Linked DNA regions of Notamacropus eugenii. The protein of the gene in region 3 interacts with the protein of the main gene of each other region in a biochemical or structural test. Links are inferred from orthologs where the notes say so. Each region holds a gene or a part of one and is shown on either strand. Other genes may lie near its edges.

Region 1 (8,012 bases), on a different chromosome or scaffold from region 3:
TATACAGAGCCATCTTAAACTAAGCAGAATCTCTGATGCAAAGTTCTTAAATAGGATACTGCATTAAAAGTTCAACACTATTGAAAGCAGTACAACTGGTCAAGTAAGCAGGAATAGAGAAAGTAGTCATTCATTAGAATATGAAATATTACTTCACAAAAATTTTTATCTATAAGGGGAAAAATATGAAGATATCTCCAGGGTCATGAGGAAAGTGGAAAAGAAAGCTAGGAAATACTTTCAGTGTTACCAATTGCTTACATTTGCCACAGATATCTCAAACTTGGGTTTTCAATTGCCTCTGAGGATTTAAAAGTTATCAGAAAGATATGAACTTGAATGCTTTTAAATAAAATGAGCAATTAAAAAAAACAATCAAATTCAAATTATTTTATGCCTTTTTTAAAAATGTGAAAAGATTGGTTCTATTTATTTTCCTGATTCCAAAATAATCAGAGCTCTTTTCTATATACACCCACAGTCAATTCCTAACCTCTCCTCATGTCCCAACCAATAATACTATTATAGTCGTTAAGAATCTTCTTGGTGAAGCCAATTCAATTTCTAAATGTACATCTTACTTCTAGATTAAGTTAAAGGATCAAAATATTCTGACCAAAAAATAAAGAACACTGATGAGATAAAAGTGGCAGAGTTCACCACTAATAACATAATTCTGTTCTCTATTTCATAGATTGATTTTGATTGACCGTACCAAAAAAAAAAAAAAATTTCAATAGGTACAAAATTTTTGTAAGTAAAACTACTTACCACCATCCCTCTCTCTAACTCTGTGAGTATGCACACTTTTTGCTTTACTGTGACCTGTGCTGTCGCTATATTTGTTTTCAGGACTATCAGATCGTCGTAACATTTTATTTGGTGGTGAAGGATCTGTGGTGTCTCGCATCTTTTCATGTCGGTGATCGCCACTACTGGGGTGACTCTTCGATGAATATTTAAGAGCCTACAAAATATCATACAAAGAAAAGCACAGACCTTTAACTTGAGTCCTTAATTATGACAACATGAAATTTATTTCGTTAAGTTTTATGACTTAAAACATCAATTTTAATCAAACATGATTCAAGAAGTCAATGTGTCTATAAATAGCAATGATTCAAAATAATGAGATCTCTAATCACTCATTTAAATATTTCAGAATATTTGCTTGAAACGATCTTGGGGCATCATTCCTTAATAAACCTTTCTGGGAAAGATGGGATGGGGACAGAAATGACCTTATAATACTATACAGTGAGAGTCAAAAGAGACTCAAAGGTCATATAGTCCCACTACTTCATTTTATAAATGAGGCAACAGAAGTTCAGGATAGTTTAAGTGGCATGCTGCTGCCACAGAGGTAATAAGCAACAGACTGAGATACGAACCTAAATCCTCTGATCATATACTATCAGCATTCTGTCTACTGTTTCATGGTGATTTCCTATTGTCTATATTCCCCAAATTATTTGGACATTTTGGTATCTATTTATCCACCCAATTTAGCCATTATCCATTTCTAGGGATTGTTAAAGCATAAGAAATCGATAGTTGAGTACTAGGTCATCCATTTCTGCCCTAAAAATTCATCTATGTATCTAAACAGGCGCCAATGGATTTCATTTACAAGAAGCTCTTTAATCACAAATTTCATCTCTGTACATGCAAAAAAAAAAGGAATCAGAATTAACCTTAAATTAACCGTAACTTAATTTCTGACTCTGGGATCTTATGATACTAAATACTTAATTTTAAAGCTAAATAACCTAAGGTTCCTTTCTAACTCTGGGATCCTACGTTATTAAATATTTAATTCTAAAGGTAAATTAAAATGCAGAGGATAACTTTGAAAAAGTGCTGCCTTTGTAATAGAACCAGACTTACATTCTCCTTAGAGAATTAAGCAGGTCGTTTCAGGCTATTATAATGTGCAATTATATCAAGGAAAACATGACCTATCCTTTAACATCTTCAAAACAAATATTATGCTGTATGACACACTGTAGTGCGTTGTAACTTACTTGGTTTGAGGTACAAACGCACAAGAAGTCAAGAAATTTTGAATAAGAGGATTACTAGCTGAGGGATCTGCAGATCCCTCTCATTTAGACCCCTAAGTGTCCTCTGACAGCTGTCATCCATTTTTGATAGCTTTTGAAAAGTCATCCATTTCAAAGAACCACAAGGACTGTCCTACGTAATTTCTGATGAGACACTGGTCAAGAGCTGCCCTGAAAAGGAACCAAAACCCCTCGAATCCCCGATGTCTCCTCAGGACATAGCTCCCAAGTGTCCAGGGCTGGCTCCTACTCTGAACAGGCAGTGAAATCACTCCGGACTGGGGTTCAGACTTTTGGTACACTCCCATAGCAAAGAGAATCAACTCGCTGCCTTTTTAAAATTTCAGCAGGCTGCCACTCACGAAGACCGCCCTCCCCCCAAAATTTAAACTAGTCCCTCTCTGCCCTCCCCGCTAAAATATCCGGGCTGGGCTCGTGGGCTCTCCGGGGCCCCCCCATGCGGGCCGGGGGCAGTCGTTCCACCAATCCGAGCCCGGCTTTCGTGGGGTTCCGGGGGGCTGGTTTCGGGTTCGTTGCCCCGCAGGGCCTGCGCCGACGGCTGAAGCCTAAGCTCGAGTAGCAGCAGTCGGTCCCTCCCTCCGCCTTCCCCGGCCGTCCCTCCCCTAGGACTCGGCTGGTACCTGGTAGGGCTGCGAGTCCCCCCTCCGGTCGTGACAGCTGAAAAACAGGAAGACAGACAGCGACATTAACACCCCGAGAGGGAGAGGCGAGCAGAACCCCCCCCCGCCCCCCAGGACCCGAGGCCGGCCGCCCACGGGCCCGGGCCGACCGCACGGCCGCGGGGCGGCGGCGCCCAGGAGCCCCCGGCGGCCCGGCCCGGCCCGCGGCCGCCCCCGCCGCCTCCTCGCAGGCCGGCCCGGATCGGGGTTAACAACAAAAATGGCGGCTCGGCCCGAGCTCGATAAGGAGGAACATCCCCCTCCCCGCCCGCCGCCCCCGGCGCGGCCCGGCCCGGCCCCAGCCCGGCCAGAGACAGACATAGAGAGAGAGAGGATTTACCCATCACTGAGTCTCTGCTGTTTCCTCGCATACATTACCATCAATGCCCGGCCTGTGTGTGTGTGTCGGGGAGGGGGGGAGAGGGCCGCGGGAGGCGGGAGGCGGGCGGGCGGGCGGACGGGCAGCGGCGGCGGCGGCGGCCAGCACCCCCTCAGCGGGTCTTAGCGCCGCTCCGTTACTGGCGCCGGCGCTCTCGGGCCATGGCCCTCCCCCGGCGCCGCGCACACGCTCGCTCCCGCTCGCTCGCCCGCTCGCTCCGTCCGTCTCTCGCTCGCTCGCTCTCGGCGGGGGCAGCGGCGCCAACTACACCGCGGCAGCGGCGCACCGGGGGGAAGGGGGGAGAAAGAAGACGCGACCGGCTCGGCCCAGCGGAGAGCGACGGCTTCCTCCGCCTTCCCCTCCTCCTGCTCCTCCTCCGCCGCCCCCTCCTCCTCCTCCTCCTCCTCTTCCTTCTCCTCCACCTCCTCCCCCCGCCGTCGCCGTCGCCGCTGCCGCCTCCTCCTCCTCCTCCTCCTCCCGCCGCCGCCGCCGCCGCCGCTGCCGCTGTTGGTGCCGCCGCCGCCGCTGCCGCCGCTCCTCCAACTACATCCGGGGAACTCGGACGCCACCGCCTTCGGAAAACATCGGCAGTTTCCGCCAAGCCGCTCCTCCCCTAGCGCTTCCTCCGTCTCCCCTCCCTTCCCTGTTCCCGAACGCCGAACTCGGCGTACTTCGCCTCTTCGCGACCCGTCGGCTCCTTCCGGTTCCGCCGCTTCCCTCCCCATGCGTACGTCCTCCTCCTCCTTCCTCTCTCCCCTCCCCCTCCGCCCCTGCGCCTCTCCTCGGAGCGCGCCGGAGGCCTCTGGTCGCCTTCTGTGTGTGTCCGAAGGAAGCCTAAGCTGCTGCGGCAGTGGTGCGCCCCGAAGTTCGATACCGGCTTCCCGCCGTGGAGGCGGCTGCCCTCGGAGGAGGGGCTGGTGGGTGCCTCGGCCCGGGCGGGCGGGAGCGGACCTACTGCGGGAGGGAAGGGGGTACGGACCGCGCTCACCCCGAGGGCCAGAAGGACATTTGTGTCCGGCTTAGAGCCCCCCGCCGCTCTTACGCTACAGGGATTTATAGGAAAGCCGAGGTCGGCGCCGGGGCTTCCGCCCGGGGCCTCCGGGTCCGCCCTAGGTGGCGTGGAGGGAAGGGAGGCCTCGAGGCCTATGCGGGTACCTGTATGGAGGGAAGGAGACGAGGGTCGGACTGAGGCCCCGCCATGGCCAGTCCGACCCCGCAGCCGGGGGAGTCTGTAGGCTCGGGCCTTGTACCCCGCCGGCGCCGGGGGCCTCGGTCCGGCCCTGCCCTGCCGGCCTCCCCTGCCGGCCTCCCCTGCGTCCTCCGAGAACTATGCGAGTCGCACCCCCGGCTTTCCTCCCACCGGTTGGTCTTCCTTCTTCACCTCCAGTGCTCCTCTTATTCTAGACGTATGTGTTGGGAAAAAATAAAATCCAGTCTGGAATTGTGTTTCTGAACGTTCGGCATTTTCAGCCTGTGTTTGGGGCGCGCGCCATTGGTTCTTTGGGAGCGTGAGGCCTGGGATTTCCCGTTCTGTTGGGCAGCAGGGATGGAGGGGGGAGTCTTTTTTTCTGCTTCCCTGATTTGGAAAAATTATCCGAAAGTTATTCTACTAAGCAGTTCTGGAGTGGGCCCTGGAACGTAGTGGGAAAGGAGACGCAATATTAAGGCAAAGAAATTTTGCTTTACGGTTTTGCATCGGGGCCTGGCAGAGACCCAGGCAGTGAGAACAGCCAGGATTTATACGCTGCCCCAAGGCTGCCTGGGAGCTAGGTGGGTGCTGTCATCATCCTCCTTTTGCAGTTGGGGAGACTTGTCTGAGAATGGGCTTCAATTAGGTCTTCTCACTCTGGGCCCGGTGCTCACCCCATGAGCCGCTAGCTGCCTAGGTACCAGTAAAAAAATCGATACCGTATGTTGCCTTTTGGAAAGTTGCCAGTCTCACCTTGCTACAAGTTGTCCTCCAGTTACTGACATTTAGCCTCCGTATTTTAGCTTATCTTCTACTTTATCCAATCTAACCAGGGCAGGAGCGTCAATCAGCAAGCGTTTATGGGCAGTCACTGTGGGTCAGGCACTGGGCAAGGTGCTGGGGATACAAAAGTAAAAATAAAGGTTCTCTGCCCTCCAGGAGCTTACAAAGAATGTCAAGGACCTGAAGTTTACAGTATCTCAGTTCCACTTTAGCCCCGAACACTCATTTGCTGCGTGATCATTAACTGCTAAACCTCAGTTTCCTGATCTGTAAAGTGAGAATAACCATTGTGCCCATCACAAAGAGCTGAGAGGTTAAAATAGAAGTTATTCTATAAGATAATATATAAGACATTATGTTAATAATATATATTACATCAGGCATTATATAAATGTCAGTAATTTGCGCCACACAATATTAGTGGAATTTCTCCATTTACAGGGATCCTTACTCCGCATAAGTCATAAAAACCTGTTGTCTGTGTTCATAATTGCTATGTATAGTTTTACTTTTTCTCAGTTTCGTTTCCAAAAGAAAATTCTTGGCTTTTACTTAGATCAGCTTTTGGAATGGAATGGAAAAGTATTCATTAAGTGCTAATCCCTGTGCTAAACACTAGCTAACAGTTATATGGTGCCTGCAATGTGGTAGGCACTTTGCTAAGCACTTTGCAAATACTTCATTTCCTCCTCACAACAATCCTTACTGTCCCCATTTTACAGATCAGGAAACTGAGGCAAACAAGTTAAAGGACTTGGCCAGGGTCCCACAGCTCCTAAGTATGTGAGGCCAGATTTGAACTCTTAGTCTTCCTGACTCTCCTCCTAGTGCTCCATCCACTCCCTAGAGATGATCCTCCCTCCCCGTGAGCTCATTCTGTTAGAGGGAGAAAACTTGAATGTAGGAGGGTGAAGATTCACAGCAGCTGCAAAATCTTGGTGATAATAAGGATCTAGCAGGCAAAGCAGCAGCAAGATGCTTTCTAGTAAGTCAGCCTTGGTTTGCAAAAAAAAAGCAATCCTCCAGGAGAACAGCTAAGATCCTGTATGAGGGCAGGAAAACTTGAATGGACACTTCTAGTACTGACTGTGTGACCCAAGGACAAAGGATTTAGACTTCTTGATCTATGAAACAGATTGTATTATATTATATTATTATTATACCCCTAGCATGGGGTATTCTAAAATCAGCCTGTCCATGCCTACCTTCCCCCACCTACCACTTCCATTACAGCTGGTGACCTAGCTGTCCTATTTTTCTGGGAAGGTTGAGGCCATCTCAGATAAGCTCCCTCAGCCTCCTTGGATTCCTCAAAATCAATAATCTTTTTCTTTTACTTGGATCACAAAAGAAGTATACCTATTTTTCACTAAGGCTAATCCATCTTTTTATATTGTAAATTCTAGGGCAGCTAGGTGGTACAGTGGATGGAGTACCAGTGCAGGAGTCAGGAGGACCTGAGTTCAAATCTCACCTCAGACACTTGACACTCACTAGCTGTGTGACCTTGGGCAAGTCGCTTAACCCCAACTGCCTCATCTTGGGTCATCTCCAGTCATCCTAATGAATATCTGGTCACTGGATTCAGATGGCTCTGGAGGAGAAGTGAGGCTAGTGACCTACACAGCCCTCCCTCACTCAAAACAAAAGTCAAATGCAAGTCATGTCATTTCTCTGATGGCATGGTCTTCTTCAGCAACAAAGGATATACACACACATTGTAAATTCTATTCCCTTTATCTTGCTTCCACCAGTCATCTTCTCATTTATTTCTTTCTCTTTCATTTTATTTTTTTTAGTCTGAGCTTAACAGCTGATAACCATGTTCATATCTATTTTAGAACCACAGAGGCAGAGCCAGCACAGCAGAGTGAGAGCAACTACTCACCTAAGCTCTTAGCCAAACTCCCTCAGATACCTCTAAAAAGAGAATCTGATCAAATTTTGGAGGTGCAGAATCCAATAGGAGACAAACTTTGGCCGTTTCACAGCCCAGGACAGACTGGAAGGTCCTGTTCCACAGGGGTAGAAGAGCATACAGCACACAGTGCAATGCTCCAGACTGCAGCAGGGCTGAGCAGGAAAGCCCTGGCCTGAGGAAGCAGCAGCACAGCAGGATAGCAGCTTAGGGCGAGAGTCAAGCAGAACGAGTGAGAGCTGCAGATGGAGCCCCAGCTATCTGCAGCAGCTGTACCAGAGACCATCAGCCCACAGATTAAATGTCTGTAAGTCATCTACTTGAACTTCTGGGAGCCAAAATGGCAGAGTGATCAGTAAATGCTCTCTCCCCTCCCCTTGTTGACCTTGAAAGAACCATAAAATATTTCCCCAGAAAAATCTTGGATCAGTGGGATCAGCAGAAGAGGCAAACAGTCTCATAGCATCTGAGGCTAGGAAAATAGCCAAGCACAGCACAGGACCTGAACTATCCCAGACAGCCCCATCTCAGCAAACCCGGAGGAGAGGACCCCAGCAGGGTGGAGCCAACAGCCATCAACACCAGGAGCCTAGCCATGCCTCAGGGGAAATGGGAAGACACTAAAGCAACCAGAATCACCCACCCCTGAGCTTGCCTTTGCTCTAGCTCAGCTGAGATCTCTCCTGACCAGACCACCCCTCCCCGACACTTAACAAGCTAGATTCAGGGCTAATCCAGGGAAACACAAAACCAAAATAAAGGCAGCTGCCCTTTGCTTTCTCACATCAGCCAGCTCAGCACCAGGTTCATTAGCTTGTACCTGAAAGAACCAGAGGCCACAATACACAAAGTGTCATCATCGTGAGTAAGAAGAAGCAGAGCAAGAAGGAAAAGACCATAGAATCTTTCTATGGTAACAAGGACCAAAACACGAATACCAAAGAGGTCAGTATTGAGACTGTACTCCCATCTGAAACTTCAGAAGGGACTATGAACTGTT
Region 2 (7,165 bases), about 330 Mb from region 3:
GGGTCAAGTTCACTCAGCATTGGGCTGCTCCCCGATTATGAGCTCTTGTGGTTTACTGGCTGCCAGTCTCCTAAATTTAATTAGGCAGGAACCAAACAGAGGTTGCAAGTACAAGAAAGCCTAGATTAGAAGAAAAGGTAACAATGCTTTTTCTGAGTATAGTATCACTAAATGATACATTACCTTTTAAAATTTTATCTCACAGCTCTCACAACTGAAAAGGCTATTTTGTACATAATGGTGCAGGATGGAGTTGTAAATAGTAAATAGTAGTCTCTTACACTAGTAATGACTTTGTGAGCACTATGATTCTAAACAAAACAGCTACACAAAAATGGCAACAAATGGAATGAACAAGGCTTTATGGACAAATCGGTTCATATACATCTATATCATTTAATCCCCCTAACACTAATGGGCACTACAAATTAATGTACCTACCATTATTCTACAATTAGACAAGAAACTGAGGCTCAAACAAATTAAGTGCTTCTTCCAGGGTCAAGCAGCTAATTAATTAGGTGGTTAGAGTCTAGTAAAGAGTTTCTAAATAGCCAGCGTTTAAAGGGTAGATTCAACTGCTCAGCAAGGTGTGGCTTTTAAGAAGAGTAAGGTTCCTGAAGAAGCAAGTCAAAGTTCAGAATAATGAAGCTACCCCAGGATACAACGCTGGTGAACAACAGCGCCCAATGGACAACAAGGACAGTGCAACTACAGGAAGCTGAAGTTTTCATATGCAAGTAGTGCATATTTATTTCCCTTTTATAATTGACACTTTCCAATTCACTACCCGCCCCCCCTTATGGATAAACATCATAGCCTCTTAAGCAAGTTCAGTAGACAATCAGCAAGCTAAGTGGCAGGATTGATATATCTTCCATAATGGCCACAACTTCTTGCTAATTAACTCCAGCAAGCTCCTAAAGGTACAATTTTTTTTTGGCATCTAGAAATGTAGTACATAAAAAGTTTTGTTGCCAGAATTAAGCTGTATCCAAAGCAAAATTTTTAAAAATGCTCAGTACCTGGAACCCAAGTTGGAAACCTATTACTTAAGGTAATTGTCAAAAAAAACTAACCAATGAAATATCTGAACCATAAAATGTTTTAAAGATGTTAAAAAAAATCCAAAAGCTGAGTACATTATACAGGTGACTCTTCTAATTTTTCTGCAAAGTTCATCAAGTGTGTTACCTTCCAATAAGAGAACAAAGACAAATAGGATATGGAGTTAACAACCACCTACTTTGCCCCTTATTCAGGTAACCCTCTTTTAAAAGCTTCAATGCAGGGCTATAAAGCTATAAAGTTTTACTTGTAAAATATCGTTGCAAATTGTACAATGCTTTGCACGTAAGTATTTATCTTCATACTAAAAAAATTTTTAGTAGCATTTAAGCAGAATCATTCCATTTTCCCCTAGGGAAAAGGCACCCAGAACAGCTCAGTCTGAAGAAGAGACAGAACTGGTTCATACTTAAGGAAAAAAATCTCTCAAGCACTTCACCTGAGAACTTAAAAGGGTGTGGTGAAAGCACTCTAATTTTTAAGTAACTAATAAAATAACTTTGTGACAAACAACGCAGGTTTCTCCAGATCAAAGAAGTCATCTCAAAACACTTCTCTTTTAAGCAAAAAGAAAAAAATGTTGAGGAAAAGATAAGGCTCAAGTAAGACATTTCCTCACTACTTATATTCCTATGTATCTTCCAAGTGTTTGCAAAGGTCAGTAAATGACTTGGAAAAAAATCTACTTTGTCAAAAATCCCATCCTTATCAACAGATAAAAATCCTAAAATAAAATCTAAATGTACTACAGGGGACCCAGGTGCTTGTCACCTTCAGTACTGGCAGGAAAGGCATTTCTTCTAACCTTAAAAGTTACTAGTTCAAAGATTTATCCAACATTTCTCCACGTAACTAAATGGAATATCTGGAGAGAATGAGCTGATCCCCGACAGACCCCTAACTAGCTCTTCCAAGGACTGGTACCAGAGGTTTGGGCTGGCTCAGCACCCAGCAAGGTTGTTTTTGTTTTTGCCCTTTTTTCCCGAGGGGGGCGACGAAGAGGAGGAAGAGGAGGAAGAGAGGAAGAGGATTAGACTCCAGCTTCCACCAACTTCTCCACCCTCACGGAAGGGACAGGGGTAGCTCTGGCCCAGCCCCAACACGGGAGAAGGGATGTGGGATTCAATTAGAAAAACACAGAATTAAGATTCCGGTTGGGGGAAGGGGAGCCTCCTCCAGAGAAAAGGACACCCCGCTAGGGCATACAAAAAGAATAGAACCTGAGGAAGGAGGTGGGGGGGAAAGAAGAGACATAACCCCTCCCGTACAAACCTGGGGGTGTCACCCGACATTCGCCTCATTAAAATAACAAATGAAACCCAGGCAGGCAAAGAAGTCAGCTCCTTCCCCTTCCCCCTCCCCCCGGCTCCAAACCTGGGGGTGTCCGATCACCTTCCTCTATTACAAAAACAAACGAGGCTCGGACAGGCCCTCCTCCGTTCCCCAAACCCGGGGGTGTCGGACGCCCCCTTCTACGGATGGGGATGGAGAAGTGGGCGACGCTGGAGGCCTGTGCAGTCCCCTGCCCCCACCCTCAGCTCCGTTTTCACCTAGGAAAGGGAAGGAAAAAATGGGAATTCCCTAGGCCTGGAACCGAAGGACGAGAGAGTGCAGCGAGCTCCGGTGAGGAGCCGCCTCAAACCCGGCCCGACCCCCAGCCCCAACCCGGGATCTAAGACAGGCCAGGCCGCGTCGGAGCTAAAAGGAAGGTGCCCTGCGGCCTGGCCGCGCCGGGATTGGTCTCCAGTCTCCTCTTCTGCCCAAAGGCTTCGGGGAAGAGAGGAAGACAGCGAGAAAATAGGACAGGGACATCTGCTGGGGGCAGTTACCGCTTGAAGTCCCGCATGAGCCTCCTCCTGGCCGGGGTCGACATGATCCCCCCGCTCCCCCGCGGTCTGTGTGAGAGAAAAGAGTCCCGAGTTCCCCACCCCCCACCCCCCCGGCCGTAGCACTCAGGAGCACCGCCACCGCCAAAGCTTCACAAACAACCCGCAATGACTTCTTCCTCCGCTGCACAAAAGATCCCTCCGCCCTCCGCCTGTACCACTATGGCGACTTTGTAGGAGGGGGAGGAAAGGGAGGAGTCTGAACGAATTCTGCATCCTTCGTCAGAAAAATATAGAGTCTTTGACTGTATCACTATTTTTCAATGCAATATTCCTTATATTGGCCTCATTTCCTTTGCATAGTAAGTAACAGAAGCCGTATCACGAGCAATTCTGTACTAGTTCCCCCTTGATACAATCTTAGACTCGTCCGAGTGGGGAGGAGTCGGAGATGCTGGAGAGGGTGATGCAGCTAGCTCCTGAGATTTCGGGCTAGAGGAAGGACGATGACGTCAGATCACGTGATACTCGGTGATGCTGTCAACAATTCAGATGGGGGTGGGGAGGGAACTAGACCACGTGGCCCTGTGACGCAGGCCGAACTGTTTCAGAGAAGGTACTGGAACCGTGAAGTTGCGAGGAGAGTGGTCAGTTCCGCAGTGATGGAAGAACCTTCTCTTCGGGAACAGAGCTGCCTCGTCCCCCACCGGGAGCCGCGGCTGTTGTCCTGCCGCCGGTCAGGAGGTAGCAGACGCACTGCTCGGTCGGAATGAAGGCTTGCCCTTCTCTTTGCCTTCAAGACCTGGGGACTTGGTCGTCGCGGGCACTCCCTCTCCGGGCGCACGTCGCTGCCCTCTTGTTCTTGAGAGTTCCTGGGGCGGAACAAGTCCCTGCCTAGCGGCCCCCTGCTGATCGAGACTCCAAATTTAACTAGGTTGGTTAGTTTTCAGAAGGTGGACACGGACCCGCCCTGAGCCAGGGGCTTCTTTAAAATCTTTAATGTAGTGTCAATATAATTTAAGGCTTAGCCCTCCCCTCCCCCCAAAAAAGAAAAACCAGGCCAGAATAAAAATATTCTCAGGCTGTTGAAAAGTGATTTCGGTGTATCCCCCTGTAGGGCGGTAGTAGAGAGGAAGAGCTTTTGTACGCCCTTCCAACAAAGAAGAATAAAATGTCCCAGTGTGCGTGGACATCTTCTGTTCTGCGCTGAGGTCATTCTGGAGCTGGAAACCCCAGGGAGGTGCGTGCGTGGGGGGGTGTGTGTGTGGTGTGTGCGTGTGTGTGTTTTCAAATTATCTTAGAATTTCAGGCATAATGTCTTTTTTTCTTGAATGAGCACTATTTCATTCGAGGATTTGTATCACAATTCGTGGATTTTGTCTATAAGAAAGCCTTGATTCTGCTTTGAAAAAAAAAAAGTCGGAAGATAGAAGGTTGGCATTTGATATAATATTGTGTTTTGTGTCTTGTGTTTTTCATTTGTTCAAGAACTGTTTGTTAATAAGTACTGTGTGCAAGGCACATGCTAGGTGCTAGGAGAGATGCAAAGCTAACTAAGATCCCTGTGAGATACAAAGATAATTACGGTATAATCCGCGTCCCAGTGGAATTCTCCATCTATCAGGAGCCTGGAAATGATAAAGGATATAAACAGAGTCTATCTTATTAATAGATTTTTATAATAGACTTTTTGAAAGACACTTAGTAAATAAAGGTAGGATCCAGTTTTCACTGGCTTGTCCCCCCCAAGGTTAGAAAGCTCTCTTCTAGTCTCCTTCCATTAGCTTCACAGGCTTTCCTGAAGTCTTAGCTAAAGTCCTACCTTCTGCAAGAAGCCTTCCTGGTGCTTCTTAATCTTAATGTCTTCACTCAGCTGACCTCCAATTTATCCTGTCTATATTTTGTTTGTATGTAGTTACTTACATGTTTCCCCATTTAGACTGTGAACTCCTTAGGAGTAGAGGGGATTGTTTTTTTTGTTTTTGCCTTCCTTTGTATCCCCAGTGCTTAGCACGTAGGTTGTGTTTAATAAATTCTAGTTGACTGAGTACTGAATACAAAATAATTTCAAGGTGGAAAGAGTGCTATTAGAAAAGGCCTTATGTATGAGATGGCACCTGAGCTGTACTTTGAAGGAAATTCAGTCTCTGAGACGGAGATATAGAGGAAGTGCCCTTTAGAAACAGGATGACCAGCTGTGCAAAGGGATGGAGATAAAAGTTGGAGTATTTGCTTCAGTTACTAGTAGATCGGTTTGATTGGATTGGAGATGGTAAGGGGAATAAGATGAAAGAAAACTAGAAATGTAAGTGGGAACCATATTGCAGAGGGCTGCAAATGCCAAACTAATGATTTTGCATTTTATCCTGGAGACAAAGATGCATTTAAGATTCTTGAGTAGGGGGTTGACAAGAGATGAGTTTTAGGAATGTGAATTTGGCAGCTGCATTGAGAATGGATTAAAAAAGGGAGAGACTGAAAGTATTGGGATACAATTAGGGAAACTATTATAAACAAAACAAAAGGTGATAAGGGCTTGAACTAGGGAAGAGGCTGTATGAGTCAAGCAGAGAGGATGGATATGAGTGAGGTGAGGAAATGGGAATAACAAGACTTAGCAACTCATTGGATATGGGGATTAAGGGAGAAGAAAGAGTCCAGACCATGAACCTGAGTGACTGGAAGAATGGTCATACTATTAGTAGAAACAGGGATACTGAGGCATTGTGTTATAGTTAAAAGAGTGCTGGGTTTGGAATCAGATAAGGGTGCAAATCTTGGATTTGGACAAGACACTAACCTCTCTGTGCCTTATTTTCCATGCTTGCAAAAAAGAATAGTTTGACTTAAGATGGCCTTTAAATCAAATCTATAATCTATGAACCAGAGAAGGGTTTGGAGGGAGGGGGGAATAATGACTTATATTTTAGACACGTTGAGTTTGAGATGCATCCAGATGGAGATGGCTAGCAGGCAACTGGTGATATGGGACCAAAGTGCAAGACAAGAGAGATTAGGGATTCAAAAGATGTGAAGGTAGGCTTTGATAGTACTGCCTGATAATTGATGGAATATAAGGTGAGGAAGAGAGAAGAATTAAAGATAAGCCTAAGGTTATGAATATAGAACACTCAATAAATAGTGGTGCAACAGACAGAAATAGTGAAGTTTTAGATATACTGATCTTGAAATGCTGGCAGAATTTCAAAGTAGAGATACCCCAAAGGTGGCTGGAGATGTGACTAGAGCTCAAGAGAGGGCAGGACTAGAAAATCAGATATATTTGAGTCACTGGGTTCTCTGTAGGAGATTTACTGAAAGACAAAGGCAAGAACTGCACAGAATGAGAAGATGTGGAGGAATGGATTCCTCCAAGAGAGCACCTTTACTAATAAGACCACAGATCCTTCAAAGCGTCAAAGACTTGTCCTATTTTTTGTCCCCTTTGCCAATCTGATGGGTATGAGGTAGAATCTCAGAGTTGTTTTGTCTTTCCCTAATTATTAGTGATTTAAAGTATTTTTTAAGTATGGCTATTGATAGCTTTGATTCCTCCTCTGAAAACTGCTTGTTCATATACCTTGACTCCGTTAGTTGAAGAATGACTCTTTTTCTTATAAATTTGAATCAGTTGCCTGTATATCTTAGAAATGGGAATTTTATCACAAAATATTGCTGCAAAGGTTTTTTCCCCCCCATTTACTTCCTTCTTTTCACATTTTAATTCCATTGGTTTTGTTTGTGCAAAACTTTGTAATTTTATGCAATCAAAATTGCTGTGGTTTTTTTTTTATCTATTTCATCATGAACTCCTCTTATTTCCTGACAGGAAATTTTTTCCTTGTTTATCTATTTTACTTACGACATCACCCTTTACGTCTAAGTTATATATCCATTTGGAGTTTATCTTGGTAGACATAGGACACCAGTCTATACCTAGTATTTGCCAGACTGATTTCTATTTTTCCTAACACTTTTTGTAAAATTGTGACTTCTTACGCCAGTCAGTGGAATCTTTGGATTTATCAGGCACTGGGTTATTGTGCTTATTTGCTTTTGTATATTGTTTATGTAATCTGTCCCACTGATCAACCTTTTTATTTTTTAGCCAGTACAAAATTGTCTGGATGATTATTGCTTTGTAGTGTGGTTTGAGATCTGGTGCTGCTAGGCCCTCTTTTTCCTCTTTTTTTTTTTTCCCTATCAATTCACTTGAGATTCTAGGGGTGGGGAACCTGAGGCCCTGAGGCCACATGTGGCCTTCTGGGTTC
Region 3 (7,422 bases):
CTCAATAAAATTAAACTGTTTATATTTCTGTATGGGAAGATAATACATGTAACTCCTAAGAACTGTATCATTATTGGGGCAGTTAGAGGGAAGTCCACATAGGCAGAGGGCACAGGCATGAGTAGATTATGTTGGGAGGACTCCCCTCAAAAAAGGGGTATTAAAGTGTAATGCAGTGGAAGACAGGGGAACGGAAAGACAAAATGGAGAAAATTTTCCTCACCTAAAAGAAGCACATAAGGAAGAGTTTTTATGGTGGAGGGGAAAATTAGGGATGGGGTGGCAATGCTTGAGCCTCACTCTCAATGGCTGATTCAAAGAGGAAAGACTATATATACCCGTTCAGGTGGGTATAGAAATCTATTTTACCTAAGAGTGAAATAGGAGGGAAGGGGAAGAGAGATATGGGGGGGGAGGGGCTAGAGGTTAAAAAGGGAGGCATCGGCCAGAAGCAAAACAGACTGTTGAGGAGGAACAGTTTAAAGAGAGAGAGAATGAAAAACAGAAGTAAATAGGATGGAGGGAAATACACAGTAATCATAACTGTAAATATGAATGGGATGAGTTAAGCAATAAAAAAAGGAGAAAAAAGAATGAATTAGAAATTAGAATCCAACAATATACTGTGTAAAATAAACACACTTAAAACAGAAAGATACAGGCAGCAGAATTAAAATAAAGAAAGGGCTGGAGCAAAATCTAGAAGGCTCCAAATACAGGCTCCATGACTGACTCTTACACACCTGTCATGAAGCAACAAGGTGAGCTAAGTTTTGAAAGGCTTAATCACCAGGTTGTGTCCAGGACGATGGCATTTTTTCCACAGAAACTCCTGAATACTCTCTTCCACATTCCTCCCCACCCCCCAAAGAATCATGGATATTTCAAGGAGCAATAATAGCTAATAGCTAGCATTTATACACGGCTTCAAGATTTGCAAAATGTTTTACAAATATGTCATTTTATCCTTGGGACAATCTTGGGAGGTAGGCTGAGACCTCTATCAACTGTACCACTTAGCTGATCTATTTTTTGGTCTATGACTTTATTCTTGAAATTCCCCTCCCTGGAATGACTACCTCCTATACACTTACTGCAAACCTGCTCTTCCTTCAAGGCTCACAACAAATACTAACTCATTACACATACATCCCTCAGCTACATATACCCCGCTCCCCCACCCTGGACAAATTTCATCTCCCAGAGTCCTGCTGAGCTATTACAGCTATTTGTGAAAGGAACTTATTTTTCCTACTGGACTATAAGATCAAGAACAAAAGTCTTTGTATGACAACATGAGAAGTATTCAGAAAGCGTGTACTGGGTAAAGAAGGTGTGTGTGTGGCATGCATACATACCGTGGAAGACACACCCCCTAGTTTAATAGTTTCTACTGTGGTCCCTGAGTCTTCAACAGCAGCCTTCTTTTCTGGGGGTACTGAAGTACCAGGCTCCCCAGCAGCTCTCTTATTGCCGATTCCTGACATTTTGACCCAAACGATGATTGTCAACTTTTCTGGTTCTTCCTGAAAAGTGAATTCACATGAGAACAGCCATGGACGTTAGGCACACTAAGGGCGGAAGGAAGGAAGGGAAGAAGGAAGGGAAGGAGGGAAGGGAGGAAAGAAGGAAGGGAGGAAAGAAAGAATGGAGGAAGGAAGGAAGGGAGGGAAGGGAGGGAAGGGAGGAAAGAAGGAAGGGAGGGAGGGAGGGAGGGAAGGAGGGAAGGGAGAAAGGACGGAAGGAAGAAAGAAAGGAAGGAAGGAAGGAAGGAAGGAAGGAAGGAAGGAAGGAAGGAAGGAAGGAAGGAAGGGAAGGAGGGAAGGGAGGGAAGGGAGGAAAGAAGGACGGAAGGAAGGAAGGAGGAAGGGAAGGAGGGAAGGGAGGAAAGAAAGAAGGGAGAAAGGAAGGGAGAAAGGAAGGGAGGAAGGGAGGGAGGAAGGAAGGGAGGAAGGGAGGGAGGAAGGAAGGGAGGGAGGAAGGAAGGGAGGGAGGAAGGAAGGAAGGGAGGAAGGAAGGAAGGAGGGAAGGGAAGGAGGGAAGGGAAGGAGAGAAGGGAGGAAAGAAGGAAGGGAGAAAGCAAGGGAGAAAGGAAGGAAGGAAGGAAGGAAGGAAGGAAGGAAGGAAGGAAGGAAGGAAGGAAGGAAGGGTGGGAGGGGGGGAGGAAGGAGGGGAGGAAGGAAGGGAGGAAGGAAGGAAGGAAGGAAGGAAGGGAGGGAGGGAGGGGGGGAGGAAGGAAGGGAGGAAGGAAGGAAGGAGGGAAGGTACTTCAGGGCTCAGGCACCACAGCCGACGTGGGAGCCCCCTCCCGCTTCTCCCCCTGACCTCTCGGGCGGGGGTCCCATAAATCCACCGCTTCAGAACCTTGTGGGAACACAAGGGGAGGGGCTCGCTCGGCTCCCCAGCCGGTTAGCGGTCCTGGGGCTCCCCAAGGGGTGCGGGAGGGGGCACACGACAGCCTGAGCCGGTTGGATTCGCAGAGGGAGGGGGCATCCTCGGGCCCAGGAAGGGCGCCGGGCACGCCCGGCTCGGACACTCGGGGAGCGCGGAGGAGGGACTGTGATGCTGGACTCCGGGGGGCAGGAATTCGGGAAGGGGGGCGCGGACACGCGTGGGGGCAGGGGCGTGGGGACACGCTGCGATCCCGAAGGAGAGATCGAGGGGTCTGCCGCTCCTGGCCCTGCCAAGCTGCAGAAGCCGGTTTCACGGTGACACCCGCCCAGGAACCCTCTGGCGCGGGGCAATTAAAGCAAGAGCCGGAAGTGCCGAGCTCCTTCAGGCGGGCCTCATACGCAGGGGGTCAAGGTGGGGGGCTCGTCTCCTCCCAAAGGGATACCGGATAAGACTTCGGGTAACAGATGACTTACCTCAATGTGCCTGGGCCACTTGGCGGCCTCTCACCCCTGACCCGGGGCGGGGACAGAGCACACTTCCGGAGGCGGGACAGGATCCCGGAAGGAGGAAAGAACAGAGATGTCCCCTTCCTCCCAGAAGCCAAACTGGGCCGGGCGGAAGTGGCTTCCTCCACGCACGGTGATGAAAAGGCGTTGGTCGGCTCCTCTCTGTGAGCACCAATCCTCATTCAGAAGACCCGCCTCTTTGTGCTCTGATTGGTGAACGTCATCCACAGAAGTAAAAAGCTCTCTTCCTATTGGCCGTGTGGTTGCCAATGCCCCGACCATCCACTAGACTAACGGGACCTAGGAATGCGGAGCGTGAAGGGACTGAGGAGATGGAGACGGCTGGTGGGGATGGAGGAAGGGAGACTGATGGGGAGCTCCAGGGTGAATAGTAGTGAGGACAACCGAGGGTTAGGTAAGAACAGCCTGAGGAGAAGGAGTGACTGGGTTTGTGACTGGGAAACTGAGATATTAACTGTGTGACCCTGGGCAAGTCACGTAACTTCTCTATAAAATGAGGGGGTTGGACCCAAAGACCTCCAAGAGCTTTGTTTATTTAAAATTATGCATCGGTATTCACTGGGAAAATAAAATACAAAGATCATACACCAGGGCAAGGCTGAATTTATACAAGGAATTCAGGGGTGGTTCAATGTTAGGAAAACTATGAGCAAAACTGAGCCTATGAAACAGAATATATGTATATGCCTAGTTTGATAGATACAGAAAAAGCTTTTAAGGAAATACGACACTCATTCCTATTTAAAAAAAATACTGGACAGCATAGGAATAAATGGAGCTTTTCTTAAAATGATGAGTATCTCCCTAAAACCAGGAGCAAACATTTCCAGTAAGGTGAGATGCGAAGCAAGGATGTCCGCTGGGACAACTTTATTCAATATTGTACTAGAAATGTGAGCTGTAGCATTAAGACAAAAAGAAGTTGTGAATAGGTATAGGAAACCCACAAAACTATCATTTTGTAGATAGAATAGTTTACTTAGAAAACCCTAGAGAACAGAAAAAACTAATGAAAAACAACTTCAGCAAAGTTAATGGATAAAATTAACCCACATCAATCATTGGAATTTCTATATATTATCAAGAAAATCCAGAAAGATGAGTTGGAGAAATTCCATTTAAAATAACAGCAAATGGTATAAAATACTTAGGAGTCTACTTGCCAAGACACAAAAACTATATGAGTACAATGACAAAACTGTCTTAGTACAGATAAATACAGATCTAAGTCACTGGAGAAATGTTCATTGTTCATGCATAGGCCAAGCCAATAAAATAAAAATTACAGTACTACTGAAGTTAATTTACATATTCCGTGTCATAGAAATCAACTCATAAAGAATTACTTTGGAGATTTAGGAAAAAATAAAATTCATCTGGAGGAATTAAAGATCAAGATTATCAAGGGAATTAATGGGAAAAGGGGGGAAGTTGCAAAGGGGGCCTAGGAATACCAGATCTCTAGCTATTTTACAATCAAAGCAATTTGGTAAGAAATAGAGGGGCTGATCAGTGAAATGGATTAGGTGCGCAATATACAGAAGCAATGAGCACAGTGACCTGATGTTTGATAAATCCAAAGATCCCAGCTATTGGGGCAAGAACTCATTATTTGACAAAAACTCCTGGGAAAACTGGAAAGTAGTCTGACAGAAACTAAGCATAGGCCAGTATTTCACACTGTGTATCAAGATAAACTCAAAATGGGTGAATGATTTGGACATACAAGTTGACATTATAAGCAAATGAGTGGATTAGGGAAGAAATTACTTGTCAGATCTATGGGTTGGGGAAAACTTCATTACCAAATAAGAGAATGAGAGGTTCATAAGAGGTAAGATGGATAGTTTTGATTACATGAAATTAAAAATGTTTTGCATAAACAAAGCCAATATAGCTAAAAAGAAAAGAAAAATAAGGAACTGAGGGAAAATCTTTGCAGCAAATTTTTGTGATAAATGTTTCATTTCTAAAATATTTAAAGTACTGAGTCAAATTTAGGAGAGAGTCATTCCCTATTTGATAAAAAGTCAAATGATATGAACAGTCAGTTTTCAAAGAATGGAATCAAAGCTATCAAAAACCATGTAAAAATGTTCTAAATCATTAACAGAGAAGCACAAATTAGAACATTTCTGAAGTACTACTCATACACATTAAATTGACTATGACCTAAAAAAAAATGACCTGTTGAAGGGGATATGAGAAAATAGGTATACTAACGTACTGTTGGTGGAGCCATGAATTAGTCCAACCATTCTGGCAAGAATCTTGGAACTATGCCCCCAAAACTACTAAATCATGCATACCCTTTGATCCAGCAATATTTCTGCTAAGTTTATATCCTAAAGAAATCAAAGAAAGAGGAAAAGGATTCACATGTACAAAAATATTTATAGCAGTTCTTTTTGTGATGGCAAAGAATTGGAAAGGGAGGGGATGCCCATCAAATGAAGAATGTCTGAAGAAATTATGCTATATGAATATGATGGAATACTATAAGAAATTATGAAAGTGATGGTGTTAGAAAAAACGGGGAAGTCTCTTATGAACTGATACAAAATTAAGTGAGCAGAAGCTCACTTAATAATTTATACAATAACAGTATTGTATCTCCAACTACCCATAAAGAAACCCTAAAGTCATCCTCTATAAGCCTGGTCCTTTTCCTATATCACTACCTTTGTTTAGCTCCTTGCTAAATCTCAGGCCCACTGCTTTTGTGTCAATAAAGCTCCCAATGGCTATAAAAAAAAATATTGTAATGATAATGAACTTTAAAAGACTTAAAAACTCTGATTAATGTAATGACCAAACAGAATTTCAAAGGCCTCATAATGAAGCATCCTATCCACCTCCAGAAGAGAGTTGATGAACTCAAAGAAAAAGTTGAAATATATTTCCTTTCATTTTTTTTGCACACGCCTAATGCAGAAATTTGATTTGTATAACTATACATACTTGTAATGAATTACATTTTTCTTGCCTTCTCAATGAGTAAAGGAGAGCAAATTTGGAATGGAAAATTGAATTAAAAAAAAAAAAAGACCAAAGGACGTCCAAAAGAAACAGTCAAAGATGGAGGAAGAGGACCAAGAGAGAGCAGTTACAAAATCTCAGAGATGGTAGTGAATCCAAGGAAGCCGGTGACCAACATTGTAAAATTCTAGACAGGGGTAAAAAAGTAAAGATTGAGAAAAGGCCATTAGATTTGGCAATTAAGAAATCATAGGTAGCTTCTAGGAACAATAAATAGTGTATTTTTTTCTGGAACATCAGTAATACATGTGAATTGTAAACGGTAAAATGGGAGTCTGGAAAGGTAGGTTGGAGTCAGGCTATGAAGAGTTTTAAATATCAAACTCAGACGTTCAAGGCAATAATAAGAATAATGGAAGAAGTGTTGGACTTAAAAGTCATAAAAAGCTGGGTTCAGATCTTGCCTTTGACAGTTAATAAGTATGTCATGATGAATGGATAATTTAACTTTTCTAAGCTTTAATTTCCTCATCTATAACATGAGAGTAATTATACCTGTAGTATTTACCTTGCAGGGATGTGAGGATCAAATGGATTTATATATGTGTGTGTATATATATATATATATATATATATATATAGTCTTTTACAAATCATAAAGTCCTATCTATAAATGTCCATATTTATTATTTTAGAGGCAATAGGGAGCCATTGAAGTTGTTCAGGAAAGGAGGCACATAGACCTGTTCCTTAAGAAGATAATTTTCATATTGTATAGAGGATAGATTGTAAATGGGAGAGACTGGAAGCAAGGAGACCAGTCTGGAGGCTACTACAATAGCGCAGGCAAGATTTGGTAAAAGTCTGGTGAAGCGGCTATGTCAATGACAAACAGAATAACTGTGGAAATATTATAGAGGTAGAATTCACAAAACTTCACAACTGGTTAGACTTGAGTGAAGGAAAAAGAAGAGGTAAGGATTATTCCAAGGTTATGAATCCAGTTAACTGGAAATATGGTGATTCCTTCAACAGAGAAAGAGAAGTATAGAAGAAGAATGTGGTTTAGGGAGCAATTTTTTTGTTGTTGACATGTTGAGTTTTAGATTCAGGACATTCAAATAAGTGTCCAGTGGGCAGTTGTCTATGTGGGACTTGGACGTTCAAGAGAGATAATAAAGCTGGATATGTAGATTTAGGAATCATCCTCATACAAGTGATCATGGAACCCATGGAAACTGATAAGATCACCAAGTGTGAGAAGAGGGAGAGAACAAAAGAGGACGTATGCTGAGTCTTCATTTGGGGGCATTCAGAAATGGATGATGCTCCAAAAAAGAGGCTCTGAGCATTTTCAGGCAAGAACAACATCATGGAAGCTAAGGAAGGAGCAAATAACCAGGGAGAGGGGTAACTGACAATGCCAAAAAATACAGAAAAATTAAATAGTATGAGGACTTTTAAAAAGCTATCACACTTAATGGTTGAGATCGGTAACCTTGGAGTATGTAGTAAAAGATTT
Region 4 (7,325 bases), on a different chromosome or scaffold from region 3:
CTAATATCTGCATTCATTTAGATGATGAGACATTATCTCACTTCAAAATAACTTCAACAGCCTCTCTCTTTTGCTCCCTCAGGCTCAAACTGCACTTTCCTTTAGGAACTGGTCATTCCAGAAACTTCCAGAGACCGATCAGTAAGACCCTGTAAACTCTGAAGTTTGTAAGGGTAGATTAAGAACTATTTAAGACATTTCCTATTGCTCCTTATTTCCATAATACATTTGAAATGGCCAAAGGCAATAATGCAGTAGATAGGTCAGTGTTTTCTATGTAAATCTTTTCTCTGATAAATGAGCATTCATAGACTGGTAAAAACATCACACAGATAGACAAACTGTCAGATAGATAGCCACAGGTAGTTAGTAACCTTAAATACCTGAGGAAGTATAGCATGTACATAAAGATACCGATTGTTAAGTAGAAAAAAAATTAGACATATTCAACATGGGCAGTGCCTTTCAGACCTAATATTGAGGTCAGTATGGACTTATCACATCATCACAAACATAGACATTATTATTAAGGTCCAGGTAGATAAGAAATTCTTTCCACCCCTACCCCCACCCCCCTCTCCAAAGTCAGACACAGTTGTGAAATAGCTAAACTCTCATCGGTGCTTGCTGTACAATAAAGCTGTCAGCAAAATGCTTTCTGAGGAAAATGAGATGGGAAGTCAACCAAAACAAATGCTGGGAGAGCTCAGCTACTCAAACAAATACACACTGTTAATGTGCACAGAGAGCTTAAGTTGAAAGAATGAGACACAAATCTATTAGTGAAAAATTAAATCTGGGTACAAGTAACACAAGTTATAGAAGAAAGCATTCAACTGATTTTTCAGACCTGTGATTTTTTTGGTATAGGGATCTCTGGATGAAGAAACTACTTCTACCAATGCTGATCTACAATGCCCTGGGGTTAAGTGAGGATAAGTGACCTGCCTAGGTTGACAAAGTCTGGCCAGTCAGAGGCCGGAGTTGAACCCAGGTCACCCTGCCTCAGAGGCCAACTCTATTCAACCTGGCTTCTGCAAACTGCCTTCTTATGCTCTATCACTTCTTTTTATTTTAGGACTTTTATTTTACTAAACAGTACCTGAAGAGGCAAGGAGTAAAGAAAGGAGTACCTTGAAATATTCAAGTGCCCAATGACATTAGTACTAGACACTTTCACCACCAAGATGCAGCGTTAAATGAAAACTAATTTAAGATTTGATGGTGGATTCCACCAACTAATGTAACATTTACGAAACAAAAGCTTTGATTGTTAAATATTCAATAATTTAAAACTGTATTAAGACTTTGGGGATCACCTAGTATTTTTACCTTAATTGGTCATTAAAGGGGACAGTTAAACTGTGTTTAGGTTAGTCTGGCAAAAAATGAAAAAAATCCCAGAATTTCAGAGTTGGAAGGATCCTCAGACTCCACATAATCTATCTCCAATGAGAAGGCCTCCTAACTATGACTCCCTGTAATTGTTACGAAGTTTACTTCTTTGCAGCCTTTCCCATGGGATCCTTGTCCTTGTCCTCTGAGTTCACAACGAACTAGCCTAAGCCTGGACAATGTTTCAAATACCTGAAAAAAGTATCCTATCTACTCCCTGAGAATGAGGATGTGTTAGAAATGACAGTCCTTCAAGTGATGGGGATGAAGAGAGGTTAAGACAAATAGAAGGGGTTTTTCTGGCAGTGAGTGAGAGCATGAATGACATCGGCAACCTTTATGGTCCCCACTATCTTTTAAGAGTCCATGACGCGTGTGGAAATGAGTTTGAAAGCCCAGGCGGTTTCCGCAGGGCCAGCCATATATACAGTACCCACACTACAAAAATGAACAGTTGTGCTCTAGTGCCCCCTTTACAAGCCCCGATAAAAGGTACCAAAACTGGAGTCAGGTGGTCAGCAGCCTGAACAACCTGCCATACAAGGGCAGCTTACTCTCGCCTGCAGGAGGTAGAGAAGAAAGAGGGGGACGGGGCTGACTGCATGGGGACCCACTCCTTCCCCAGCTCAACAGCCGGCTCTGAAAGGGAGGAAGGATAGCGCTCCTTACCATCTTCAAACGGGGTCCCCTCGGGCCTGCAAGAGAGGGGGAAGCAAGGCTAAGTCAGTGCCGGCTGTTCCCGCACGAAGTACCTGCTCCCAGGGGGGCACCCAGCTGCCCTCGCCCCCCGCCCGCCCTTAGCCGGGGAGGCCCCTGCTGGCATCTCCGGGCACGGCGAGCCGCTCCGGCTTCCTTCCCAGTCCCGCGGGCAGGGCACTCCAGCCCCAGGCTCGGGACGGCCCAGAGGCCGGCCCCGCGCACCCTGCCTCCCGTTCCGTCCCGTCCCGCTCCAGTCAGTTTCCCTGGCCCCCTCCTCCTCCCCCGCCTCCCGCTCGCCCGTGCGCGCGCCCGCCAGCCCCAGGGCTCCCCCGGCGGACTCACCCGAAAATGACCGCGTTCCACACCATAATGTTGTTCTCGGACGGGGCTCCGCTGACCCCGGCAGGGGGGTCCTCTTGCAGCCTGCGGAAGGAGCGCAAGTGGAGCTCAGTCCTGCCCTGCCCTGCCCGGCCCGACCCGGTCAGGCCCCTCTGGCCCGGCCCGATCCGATCCGACCTTCCCGGCCTGGCCCGTGCCCCCGGCTGGGACCCCGCCCCGCATCCCGCGACCCCCGGTCAGCCGCGCCGCCCCTCCTCACCTCTTGAAGTCCCGCATGAGGCGCCGCCGAGCCGGGGTGGACATGTCGCGGACTGCTGCGGGCTCAGGGGTGGGGCATAGACCAGCGGCCGGGCGGCAGGAGGAGGAGGAGGAGGATGAGGCGGCGGCTGGAGAGGAGAAGGAGGGGCAGGGGGAGGAGGGGGAGGAGGAAGAGGAGAAGGAGGAGGATCGAGAGGAGACGCAGCCGGCGCAGAGTCGGACTCCGACGGGAACGCTGGAGCCCCTGGCCCAGAGGAGGGAGGGCCAATACCAACCCGAGTGGCCCCAGAGGGGAGACAGAGGAGGAGAAGGCTGCACCACTGCTGAGGCGCGGGGGAGGACGAGTGGAAGGCGGTGACAAAAGCTGTGCGAAGTCACCAGAAGGGGGTGGAGTGGGGGGATGAGCAAGCTCACAAAAGCAATAATTAACAGTGCAACTCCAGGGAAAGGGAAGGAGGGGCAGTACTGGTGCTTTTATGGAAGGACGTTTTTAGTTCTACATCAATCCCCCCTCCCCGCCGCTGCCGCCAACCTCCGGCTCTAGGGCGCTTCCACAGAAACACTGGGGCTGTACCATTCAGTGAAAGGAGTTCTCAGGGGGGTATAAGCTGGCCCGCCAGCCAAGCCTGGAGCGGGGCTGGGGAAAGCAGAGCTCCAGCTTTACTTACACCCACGAAACAAGGCAGAGAGATCCTGGAGAAGGGTTGTACCATTGACATCAAAGGGGACCGAGGAAAAGGAGTGAACTCTTCGAGACAGTTCGAGTTAATCTACTGATGGGGGGGGGGGGGGGGAGGCCCCGGGGGGGTGAAACTATACCCTACCGCCCCAAGTATGGGGAGTCAGTGTGGGAGATCTCCTGAGGTGGAGAGGGAGAGGGGACAGAAATGGAGCCAGCATCCACTCTGTCCCAACCCTGTGACTCTGCAGCCACGTTTACAAACACTGGTAACCAGGAGAACCATCCTGGGCCCACGGACTCAATAACAGAGTTGGATATGTCTTGTCCAGGAACCGGAGGGATGCCTGGAGAGCAGCAGGCGAGAGAGGGGCTAGCAGTTATGGGAAAGAATTGTTTACAAAGTATTGTTACAAAGGAACTTCTGCCACCCCGTCCCTTTTTTAGTTTATTATTTTTATTTTCAAATAACAAGTATTTTTTTTAAAAGTATTCTGCCCCTCCCCTTACCTCTGCCCCCATTAGCGCATAAAAAACCTCGAAAAACAAATCTCTTAATAGATAGCTACATAAACTAGCAAAACCAAATTCCTGCATTAGCCACGTCCAAAAAAAAAAGTTATCCCCTCTCAGGAGGTGAGTGGCTCATTTCAGCTTTGTTTTTTTGTTTTGTTTTGTTTTGTTTTGTTTTTGGAGTCGTGATCTGTCATTGCGTTGTTCAGAGTTCTACAGTCAAAATTGTTTCTGTCTATAATGCTGTCTTTGGATAAGTTGGTCTAGTTCCGCTCTGAAACCGGCCATTTCTTAATTCCTCTGTTATAGTAACATTCCATCACACATATAAGCCACAATCTTTTTAGCCATTCTCCAATAGGAAGCTATCCCTTTAGTTTCCAATTTTTGGCTACCACATAAAGTAGCTACTAAAAATATTTTTAGTCCACATAGACACTTTGAATTCTTCAATTTCTTTGGGGTATAGGCATAATAGCAGCATTGCTGGATCAAAGGGCATGTACAATTTGGTAACTCTCTGGGCTCACTTCCAAATTGATTTCCAGAATAGCTAGACCGATTCACAATTCCACCAACGGTGCATTGGTGTACCTGTCTTCGCATATCCCCTCTAGCATTTATCATTTTCCTCTTTTGGTCATCTTTGCTAGGTGGAGCCTCAAAGTTGCTTTAATTTGTATATCTCTATTAGTGATTTAGAGCATTTTTTTTTTCAAAGCTGTTGATTTCTCCCTCTGAAAACTGTCAGTTCAGATCCTTAGACCATTTTTATCTACTGGGGAATAGCTCTTTATCTTAGAAATTTGAATCAACAACCCAAAGGAGATTTTAAGCGAAAGTAAAACATGGGATGAGTTACCCATAAAAAAGAAACTGACCAAGCTGAGTGGTAACAGTCAATTACACCAAGTAATTAGCATTTCTAAGGAACTTTCTGTTTTGCAAAGGGCTTTACAAATGGGTTATCCCCTTTGATCAAGCTTTAAGCTATCAATAAACATTTACTAGAGGCTAATTAGGTTCAGGGGATTCAAACACAAAAGTGACACCATCTCTGCCCGAAAGGGGCTTACATTCTAAAGATCCTCAAAGCCTTGGTGAGGTAAATGCTATTAAAATTTAAATGATTCACTCTGGGTCACACAGCTCTCCTCAGGGAGCTATCCTTTCTTACAAATAATTTAAAAGAAAGAGGATAAGAAAAACAGTTCAGCAAAACTAATCACACTCACTATGGTAACTTTTCTCTTCTGATAAATTACTTTTCCTGGAAAATTTGACAGAAGTACAGATAAAAGGCACTTGCCTCCCTTCATTGTAGGTGTGGGGCATATACTCTTAGCCTCAGTTTTGACAAAGTACTTTTTTTTTTCCTTTTTGTATTCTTTGTTTCCAAGGATGGCCAGCTCTCTTGGGCTGGGAGGGGAAATGGAATTTTTGGAAATGAACGTGATATAAGAACAAAAGCTATCAGCAGATATTAAAAAGAAAAAGTCTTCTACACTCATTCATTATCTCTTCGGCTTCACCTCCCAGACTCCTGAAATCTAGCTGCTATCTCCCCCTATCCAAACTTTCTCTACAGGAATTGCTCTTTCAAACGTGGAAAGATTTGTATGAACTGATGCAGATGGAAATAAGCAGAATCAGTAAAAGAATATAAGCAGAGATGAAAATGAATTATATATTATAAATAATTAAAATAAAGAAAACCAACAAAACTGAAGACTGAGAGATGGAGAGGACCAGTCTTGGCCCTGGAGATGAGGTGAAGAAACACCTCTCTCCATTCGGTAGAGGGGAAAGTTGGGAAGTGGGATGTCGAATACGCTGTCAAACATAGTCACCATGTTGGTTGGCTTTACTTAAAAGTTTTAATATTTTCTTGGCTACATCACTAATTTGATGATGGAATGAATGGGTATATACTGAAATGACTGTACTGGAAAAAGAAAAGGCATCAATAAAATGATTTTTAAAAAATAAAATAAAACTAATTTATTCTCAAAGTTCACTGACAAGTTGCCAAAACCAATGGTTTTTACTCAGTCTTGCTGTCTTCATCCCTCTGCAGTATTTGATACTGTTCACCACCTCCCTTTTCAGAATGGATCCTAGATCTCGAGCTGAAAGGAACTTCAAAGGTCCAACTCCCTCATTTTACAGAAGAGGAAACTAAGGCTCAGGGAGGATTCAAACTGAGGCCCTTTGACTCCAGATTCAACCTTTTCTCCACTGCACCTCACTGCCCTGATTAAACAAATATCAAGCATTTATTATGTACTAAGGAACATAACTTATAGAGGGTATGGAGGTCAGTCATGTGGAGAGAATGGGAAGGCATATTAGCCTGACTAGAACTCCCTGGGGAGAAATGAGAGCTGGACTTGGCAAAGCAACTGGGGGTGGAGTAGGGGTGGGGAGTGTGGGGGGGGCGATACTTGATAATGGACCTTAGAACGCTAGGCTGAGAATTTTCTGTTTGGTAGGGAGCCATTATAGGTCCTTGGACAAGGGTGAGTGTCATGACAAAAATAGGTTTTTGAGGACTGACTGGGGGAGGGGGTGGCATGAAAAAGACGGGGAGGCCTAGCGCTGGTTAATATGCCTACCTATCCACCAATGACTATGAGATGGTTTGCAGCGATCTGCATGCTTCATGTTTCTGATATTTCACTTTTATTTTTGTATTCCAACAGTGTCCGGTACATAGCTTAATAATGCTGATTGATTGATTGATGGGTTTGCCTCTCTTCCACGTGGCATTTTTCCTTCCTCCCTTGGACTACCTGACAAAAAAAACAAAACAAAACAAAACCTCAGAGACATTGGCTCAAGTTGTTCCCAAAGCCTCTGTGTGTGGCCTCCCTGTGTGTGGCCAGCAGAGCCGGATTTCAGAAAGGGACTGTGCCTCAGGAAGAATGTGCCCCCACGCTCCTCCCCAGAAGCAGGGTTGCTATAGTGAATGGGCCCATGGCAGAACTCTCTCAAGCAAACAATCACCAGGCGGGTACAGCCTAACTATAGCTCTGTTGGCTGCAAAGCCCCTACCACCCCCATCCCACCTTGACATCTCTGTGCCCATTCAAATAGCCTCTTGTGGGTGCCCCCTCTAGAGGGAGGGGGCCAAGGAATGATATCATTTTCCATTCTAAAAACATCCCTGTCATTTCCTCTGTAGCTTCCAACAGGCCCCTGGCAGACACCCAGGCCTGACTAGACTCCAAATCATCTTTCAGTCCCCAACATTAAGCTTCTCTGAAGGGCCTTTCTCAGGTTTAGAGCGAATGCTCAGGCCGAGATGTGAGATTTAGTTTTGTCCTAAGCCTTCCACTCAAACCTGACCTGAACACAAAAGGGAGGGTTTTGAAATATGGGAGGAGGTAACTGTGGGAGGCTCTGTCCACAAGAATCTTAAATTCAGAACAGAGTCTAATTG

The links.
Region 1: the proteins of RNF20 (region 3) and WAC form a complex in vitro, tested with the Homo sapiens proteins (2 studies listed by BioGRID). The link is inferred for Notamacropus eugenii from reciprocal best matches to the Homo sapiens genes RNF20 and WAC.
Region 2: the proteins of RNF20 (region 3) and UBE2B form a complex in vitro, tested with the Homo sapiens proteins (4 studies listed by BioGRID, with this or other methods). The link is inferred for Notamacropus eugenii from reciprocal best matches to the Homo sapiens genes RNF20 and UBE2B.
Region 4: the proteins of RNF20 (region 3) and UBE2A form a complex in vitro, tested with the Homo sapiens proteins (4 studies listed by BioGRID, with this or other methods). The link is inferred for Notamacropus eugenii from reciprocal best matches to the Homo sapiens genes RNF20 and UBE2A.

The regions. Positions count from the first base shown.
Region 1 is NC_092874.1:69,111,747-69,119,758, reverse strand, and holds the start of WAC (WW domain-containing adapter protein with coiled-coil), read right to left. Parts: upstream 3,233-8,012; 5' UTR 3,142-3,232; coding exon of another isoform or gene 3,127-3,141; 5' UTR 3,125-3,126; coding exon 3,084-3,124; intron 2,742-3,083; coding exon 2,705-2,741; intron 968-2,704; coding exon 772-967; intron 1-771. Other genes in the region: uncharacterized protein, read left to right, coding at 3,127-3,141, 3,249-4,039.
Region 2 is NC_092872.1:340,822,123-340,829,287, forward strand, and holds the start of UBE2B (ubiquitin-conjugating enzyme E2 B), read right to left. Parts: upstream 3,097-7,165; 5' UTR 2,942-3,096; coding exon 2,898-2,941; intron 1-2,897. UniProt on the Homo sapiens protein: E2 ubiquitin-conjugating enzyme that accepts ubiquitin from the ubiquitin-activating enzyme E1 and transfers it to a E3 ubiquitin-protein ligase. In vitro catalyzes 'Lys-11'-, as well as 'Lys-48'- and 'Lys-63'-linked polyubiquitination.
Region 3 is NC_092872.1:15,704,828-15,712,249, reverse strand, and holds the start of RNF20 (E3 ubiquitin-protein ligase BRE1A), read right to left. Parts: upstream 3,015-7,422; 5' UTR 2,868-3,014; exon of another isoform or gene 2,326-2,867; intron 1,527-2,325; 5' UTR 1,488-1,526; coding exon 1,359-1,487; intron 1-1,358. UniProt on the Homo sapiens protein: Component of the RNF20/40 E3 ubiquitin-protein ligase complex that mediates monoubiquitination of 'Lys-120' of histone H2B (H2BK120ub1).
Region 4 is NC_092879.1:43,329,826-43,337,150, reverse strand, and holds the start of UBE2A (ubiquitin-conjugating enzyme E2 A), read right to left. Parts: upstream 3,039-7,325; 5' UTR 2,737-3,038; coding exon 2,693-2,736; intron 2,518-2,692; coding exon 2,437-2,517; intron 2,091-2,436; coding exon 2,065-2,090; intron 1-2,064. UniProt on the Homo sapiens protein: E2 ubiquitin-conjugating enzyme that accepts ubiquitin from the ubiquitin-activating enzyme E1 and transfers it to a E3 ubiquitin-protein ligase. In vitro catalyzes 'Lys-11', as well as 'Lys-48'-linked polyubiquitination.